2 linked regions of the Callithrix jacchus genome follow. The protein of the gene in region 2 interacts with the protein of the main gene of each other region in a biochemical or structural test. Links are inferred from orthologs where the notes say so. Each region holds a gene or a part of one and is shown on either strand. Other genes may lie near its edges.

What was found.
Region 1: the proteins of SORT1 (region 2) and SORCS1 form a complex in vitro, tested with the Homo sapiens proteins (2 studies listed by BioGRID and IntAct, with this or other methods). The link is inferred for Callithrix jacchus from reciprocal best matches to the Homo sapiens genes SORT1 and SORCS1.

Annotation. Positions count from the first base shown.
Region 1 is NC_133513.1:99,578,538-99,582,357, forward strand, and holds part of SORCS1 (VPS10 domain-containing receptor SorCS1), read right to left. Parts: intron 3,792-3,820; coding exon 3,686-3,791; intron 3,569-3,685; coding exon 3,408-3,568; intron 1,890-3,407; coding exon of another isoform or gene 1,754-1,889; exon of another isoform or gene 1,622-1,753; coding exon of another isoform or gene 1,600-1,621; exon of another isoform or gene 1-1,599.
Region 2 is NC_133508.1:147,225,160-147,228,979, reverse strand, and holds part of SORT1 (sortilin), read left to right. Parts: intron 1-2,102; coding exon 2,103-2,247; intron 2,248-3,322; coding exon 3,323-3,478; intron 3,479-3,820.

The sequences.
Region 1 (3,820 bases), on a different chromosome or scaffold from region 2:
CTGGGATTTCTTCAGGCTTTGCGCCAGTCTTTTTTTTTTACCAATCAGCTAACTTTTTTCCTTTAATGATACTATGATACTCAGAGGTCAGAGAGCACACATGAAATCACTGAGATCATCCTAAATATCAAACTCTCACCCTAATGTAAGACAAAACCCCCTCATTTATTCTCTCAGACGTTTTGACACTCTTAAACATGAAGTCCATTAACCTGCTTCTCCTTCCAGTTAAAATCAATTTCACAAACATTTCTATTCTATTGTGAGAGTGAAATGTTGGGTAACAGCAACCATCACAGGAGGAAATCGCCCTGCAAAATCATCACACATTCAAAACATTTCTCGCAAGAATCTTCTAGAATCAGGTCTCATGAGATTTTGGTTGTGAGACCACCACAATTCATCTCTATGCTTTCTTTTCCAAAGTACATGGCCAGGTTTGAATAGCTTTGCATAATATCAACTCTTTCACATACAGTATATGTTTCCAGGTGGGAAAAGGCAGGTTCTAGAGGAAGAGACAAGGATACATGAAACTGAACCCTGCTGTGCAGGATACAGCGAGGTCCATGGGCACAGACACTGGCATGCTTGGGAATGTACAAAACTGACAGAAGGAGCCGAAACTTGCAAGTGGTGGAGGCAGGGGTGGCAGAGGCCAGGCCGCTATTTAGGAAACGTTAGGGTTAATGTCCAGAATCTAGCAACATGTTTGGGAAAAATAATTGACAACAGTTGAAGGACAACTTACTTGGGGTTTGGAGGGAAGAGATTCAAAGACATCAACAGATCATGGCCACACAAGGATGATTGATAGACACATGTGAAGGCAGGAAAATGGACTAATGGGGTTCCATTTCCTACTGCAGTGGGGCAGGAGTAGGGAAAGCTGCAAGTGGAAGCAATCATGGTGGGAAGAGGTAAACAGAAAACCAAGGTCCGTTTCTGACATGCTTTGCCTCCCTTCCTTCCCTATTCTACCTGCATACAGGGATCTTGAACTCCCATCTTTGTTTTTGTGGCCACAGAGAGTACAGAAAACAGCCTTGTGGCCACTGCTGACCAACAGAGCTACAAAAGCTAACTTAGAAGGGAGATGACAATATGGAAAGTGGAACAGAGAAACAGCTCAGGGTTTCAAACTCCTGTGCATGTCTTTGTGTCTTATGAAAGGGGCTGGGGTAGCTAATCCACCCATCAGCCCTTAATGCTAAAATAGCTGATAAATCTAGAGCCAAGAATATTTCCAAAAATACATGCAGATTTCCTTGGCCTATATATGTTATGAATTTTCTACAAACACGACCGATCAGAAAAAAGAGGAGAAGAAAGAGGGAGAGGGGAGTGTTTTCCATTAAAATAGAGCACCTGTACACTGCCCCTCCACACATGTTCTCAGAGTATCGTCCACATGCACAGGCTTAAAGCTAAAAACCCTTGTTGTCTGTGTCTGAAGAATTAAAAAGTCCCGATGCAGTGAGTGTTTGTTTGGATTTTGATATTGTTTATATTTTATATTATTTTGTTTTTGTTTTGTTTTGTTTTACTGGCGTCCTCCATTCAAACATTTACATAGGGATTTCTTTTGTGCTTTGATTCTCAGCAACTATGGAAATACTTCCTGGCAAAATAGGAAACAGAACAACAAAGGAAAGAGAAAACACAAAGTTAGTGGTCATGAAGGATGGTGTACTTGACAAGAGCGAAATTCTTTCCTGATCAGCAGGTCGCCTGTAGCCTTTGGGGGTTTTCCTTAAATTGCAAATTGTGCCCCAGCAGATCCCCGCTTTGGCGTTGAAGGCGGAGTGGCGTGTCTTGCTCTTTGCAATCGGAGAGATGAGTCACCAGGTTGAGTAGAAGGGGAGGGAGGGGAGGGTAAAGCTACTCTCCTAAGAGAAAACGTGTAACACTTACTCATTTAATGACACTGGAAAGGGAAAGGTGTCAGAGACTGCAATGTGCTGAGATAGCTTCCTGGTGAAGGAGGAATTGCTACTTTAATAAAACAAACACAGGCTATGCTTTATACCCTACAGAAATGCAACTGAGAACCAAATGATACCAAAAAATGCACATAGACGCTTCAGGAATGAGTAGACAGGGTGAATGCCTCTGTGGACTTGAAGACAGAAAAGGCTTTTTTCTTTTTAACCCTCAGCAATTACACTTTTATTACCTTGTCTCCCCAAATAAAAGAAAGTGCACTGTGAAAATCGGACACCAGATGTGGCTGCCACTGTTATCATTACCTATGATAGGAGCCAGTTACTGCATTTAAATTTCTCCTTAACACAGCCACAGACCTTTCTCATTTTTGTTTAAAGAGGGTCATGTTTCCATTTATACACTCATTTTTTTTCCAAGTAAGATTAAAAATGTTATGTAAAGGCCAGGTGGTCTGGCATGATGACATTACAGTGGAGCAGAAATGGTTATACGGTAATTTATCCACTGTTGTCAGCAATGCAGGATCTGGCTGTGATCATACATACAAGTCTTAGGAAGAACCAAAGAGAGAAGCAGATCAGCACTAGTGGCTTCATGGGTTTGTCTAACTTCCTGGAAAATTCTTTCTGCAGTAAGTAGCAGGATCTAGCAAGTGAACGTCAGACTCTCCATACCTAGTTGTTGGATTCCTGTGCCTACTTCACAGGCAGAGAGGGCTCCGTTGAAATATGAGTAAGTCTATTTTACAATTTCTGCTAAGGGACAGTCAAAAAAGAGGAAGAAATTTGCTAATCTGCTATGTAATAGTCTCACATACCAGTGTGGTCTCTCTGAGGTTGCTCCACTCCCTGGATGTCTGCAAACCTTATGACTCTTGTCCTCAAGTTCTTAGGTGCCATATCTCCTGAGAGAAAGTTCCTAGCTACCACTAGATGTAAAAAAAAAAAATTGCCCTGGATGATGAGGCTGGTCATTCTCATTACGTCACTCCTCTACTAGCGTTCTGAAGCAGTTTGCCCTCTTTAGAGCTGTATCCAGTTGAGGCCACCGTGTTTCGTTCTAGTCAATACTAACCATGTCCTGCAAACCCTGCCCAGTTGTCTGAGCCACCAGCTCTAGCCTCTGAGGCCTCTCCTTCTTATATATTATTATAGCAAATGCTTTGCTCTTTCCCCATAAACATGTAACATTTTAACATTGTAAGCCCAATATTTTAGGGAGGGTTTTGCAAAAGGAGGAATAAACTAATGAGAGGGGAAAAAAACTAGATAGAAGCAAGAGGTTTGTTATTATTTTTCCCCATCCCAATGAGAGGAAGCAGGGAAAGAGCCATCTTAGCTGTTTCTCTCAGGGGTGTTAGAGCAGAAGAAAGTGGTTATGTCAAGCCAGAAAGGGGTTAGAGAGAGAGTCAGCCATTGCCTACTCAGCTGAACAGCTGATGGCTACTGGGAATCATTTACCTATGAGTTGGGATTCCACCTTCTCATCTATAAGCTGGCCAGGCCTCCTTAGTTCACTCTGAGGGACACTGGGCCTGCTTTCAGAGTGACTGACTGGACTGATCATCTCTTGTTCTTTCTCATTCTGCATCTGGGCATAAGCATTAATGCCCGGGATCTTCCTAAAATATTAATAGAAACCATCACTGCTATGCACATCACTGTAACACATGCTTCTGGACCTGTCAGGGAGAAGGAAGAGGCTGGGGGTGAGGAGATGTGGATGGAGGGACACGCACCTTTTAAACTTGTAGATGACAAATACTGCTAGCCCCACAAACACCACTGAGAGCAGCATCAGCATGGCAGATCCACTGTGGGTTGGAGTGAGGTCCACCAGGGGGGCTGGGGGGAAGACAAAACACGGTCATGAG
Region 2 (3,820 bases):
ATCTCTACTAAAAATACAACAGCCGTGAAGAAATCTAAAGCAGACTAAGAAAGTGTCGGGAGTCAGTGCTCTTTTAGGGTGTTTAGGATGGACTCTCTGGGACTAAGTGAACTGAAAGCATGACCATGTGGCCATCTGGGAGGAGAGGAGGACGAGGCACAGCCAGTGCGGAGACCCTCAGCCTGGAGCATGCTTCATCAATCTAAGCAAAGGGGAGAAGGGCAGTATGAGGGGAGCATAGAGAAGAGTAGTCCAAAGTGGGACCACAGTGGGCCCGGCCAGACCTTACATGGCCTTTCTAGGTCACAATTAGAATATGGGCCTTACTCTTCCTGTTTTGGGAGCTGTGGGAGGGTTGTGAGCAGGGGTATGCTGGGATTTGGCTTCTCTTTGAAGAATAGGTGTGTGCAGAACAGCCTGACAGGGGCGCTCTCGGGAGTCCAAGCCAGGGAGGTGGTAGCTGGGCCAGGCCCTTGGCAGTGGGCGAGACTGTGGATATATTTATAAGCATATTGCTAATAGGACTTGCTGATGGATTTGATGTGGGTTGTGAGAGAATGAGCAGATTCAACGGTACCTTCAGAGTCGTCATCCTAAGTCCCTGAATGGTGGTGCCATTTCCTGGGATGGCAAAGACCGCAGAAGGAGCATGCTGTGGAGACAAATCAAGAATTCAGTTTTGGGCCTGTAATCCCAGCTCTTTGGAAGGCCAAGGCAGGCAGATCACTTGATGTTAGGAGTTTGAGACCAGCCTTGCCAACATGGCGAAACCCCGTCTCTACTAAAATACACAAAAAATTAGCCGGGCGTGGTGGCACGTGCCTATAATCCCAGCTACTTGGGAGCCTGCGACATGAGAATCACTTGAACTCTGGAGTTGGAGGTTGCAGTGGCGACAATCATGCCACTGCACTCTGAGTGAGACTCTGTCTCAAAAAAAAAAAAAAAAAATTCAGTTCTAGATATGAGACATGTATTAGATATCTGAATGGAGATGTTAAGTGAGCATTTGGGTATATGAATCTCCCTAATTGCTATGGTATTTGAAGCCATGTGACTAGATGATACCTTCTGGAGGGGTAAGTAAGTAGCAAAGAGGTAGGAGGACTGAGCAATCCCTGAAGCACCCACAACTGAAAGGTTGGAAAGAGAAGAATCCAGCAAAGAAGACTGGGAGGGAGAAGGAAATCAGGACTGTTGAGTTAGCCGGCCTCTTTCCAGCCCATGCCTATTCCCTTCCTCCTGGCCATTCTGAGAGAATTCCTTAGAGAGGAGGTATGTTACATCCTGACTTTTCTTGTGATCTCCCAAACATGAGTTTCATCGCTATTTTCTAGACTCTTAATTATATAAGTATTTAAATTATGCAGGGATCGTCTGAAAGGGACCAAACTTTTACGCATCAGTCATCATTTTAAGAATTATCGGAGTGAGTGTATGCAAATGGCTGTCAAGCCAGCCTAGTAATGTTCCCATCAAATCCTTAGCTCTGCTGAAGGAGATGGACTATCAGAGATCAGACATACAATATCTTACAGGGCTGCATCAGAATGAAGAATTCAGAGAGAAAGCCAAGATAGCCTTACTTAGAATAGAATGGATTGTTCCATTACCTGCAACTTTGCTAGCGGCTAGAAATTGCTTTGGTAATTGGTACTATGACCTTTCATTTATAGCCATTGTACCCAGTGGAGAAATTGATAATAGTAATTATTTAAAACATTCTTGGGCCTGCGCAGTGGCTCATGCCTGTAGTTCCAGCACTTGGAAGGCCAGGGTGGGCAGATCACAAGGTCAGGAGTTCGAGACCAGCCTGGTCAGCATGGTGAAACCCCATCTCTACTAAAAATATAAAAGTTAGCTAGGCATGGTGGCTCATGCATATAATTCCAGCTACTTGGGAGGCTGAGGCAGGAGAATTGCTGGAACTGGGACCCAGGAGATGGAGTTCACAGTGAACTGAGATTGTGCCACTGCTGCACTCTAGCCTGGGCTACAGAGTGAGACTTGGTCTCTGTAAAAAGAAAAACATTCTTGTTCATGTCCCTGTACATGGCATCTTGGCAGAAAATTAGAAAGATAAATATTGGCATCTGTTCTAGGATACAACAAGAAGGATCCACGTTTCAACAGATCAAGGGGACACGTGGAGTATGGCCCAACTCCCCTCTGTGGGGCAGGAACAGTTCTATTCTATTCTGGCAGCGAATGATGACATGGTATTCATGCATGTAGATGAACCTGGAGGTAAGAGCTTTTTGGTGGCTCGCCTTTGAAAGCATAGAGATGTAAGCTTTGAGCAGCTTTCCTTTTTACATGTTGAGTTTTCCTCTTACCCCTAGAAGTTCATTAGTGTCATACTGATTATTCTGTCCTAGAAATCATCTGTGGCCCCTGTTAAAAATGCCGCTTGTTTTGGTGCTCTAAGGTAGCTCGTGTGTATGTTCAGGTGTTCCAGAGCAGAGCTGCTCAAAGAATGGTCAGTAGACTGGTACTGACTGTGCAGACTCTCTGTTACCAGATAAGTACAGAGATTGAGAGCAAGAGTTTAGAAACTCTTCTGACCCTTCAACAAAGCAATTTTATGTCTGTTGGATCTAATGATAAAAAATTAGGGGTCTGTATTTTGTCTGCCTTTTCATTTTTAATGATTAGTATTTTATTAGGTTTACAAAAGCGTCAGTTTGTGACATATTGGAAATCTGGTGCGATCTCGGCTCACTGCAACCTCTGCCTCCTGGGTTCAAGTGATTCTCCTGCCTCTGCCTCCTGAGTAGCTGAGATTACAGGCGTGCGCCACCACGCCCAGATCATTTTTTGTATCTTTAGTAGAGACAGGGTTTCACCATGTTGGCCAGGCTGGTCTCAAACTACTGACCTCGTGATCCTCCTGCCTTGGCCTCCCAAAGTGCTGGGATTACAGGCATGAGCCACTGCACTGGCTGGAAGTCTTACAAATTGATCCTTCACCATAGATAGTTTAAAAAGCATTGTTCTAGAGTGTAAAGATTTAGAAATGTGGAAACTAAACACAGAAACTCTCCAAAATATATCTGGGAAGAGCTTTCTGTAGCATCTGATTAATTTATTCAACAAACTCAGCATCTGGCATATTCCAGGCACTAAGCTGGGTACTAGAATTAAAGATGGGCATAAAGATCTTGAGTATCAAACCTTGATTAATTCTCAGGTCTGAGTCTTCATAATGAAGAGACACAATTGGCTACTGCGTTTAGTCGGCAGACAATCGTGTGGTTAGACTATTGTTTTTCTCTTTGGTTCCACCCGAGACTTAGTATTTTTGTTTGTTTGCTTATTTCAGACACTGGGTTTGGCACAATCTTTACCTCAGATGATCGAGGCATTGTCTATTCCAAGTCTTTGGACCGACATCTCTACACTACGACAGGCGGAGAAACGGACTTTACCAATGTGACCTCCCTCCGAGGCGTCTACATAACAAGCGTGCTCTCCGAAGGTGAGTGTGGGCATCACAGTGCTGCACTGCACCTTCAGCTGCATGTGGTAGGGTTTGAGCCTTCAGGGGATCCTGTCCCCCGTAACCGTCACTTGCCAAGTACATTTTTTACTTGTCTTTTTTTTTTTTTTTTTTTTTTTTGAGACACAGTTTCGCTCTTATTGCCCAGGCTGGAGTGCAGTGGCGCAATCTTGGCTCACTGCAACCTCCACCTCCCAGGTTCAGTCGATTCTCCTGCCTCAGCCTCTCCCGAGTAGCTGGGATTCTAGGCATGCACCACCATGCCTGGCTTTTGTATTTTTAGTAGAGGCAGTGTTTTGCCATGTTGGTCAGGCTGGTCTC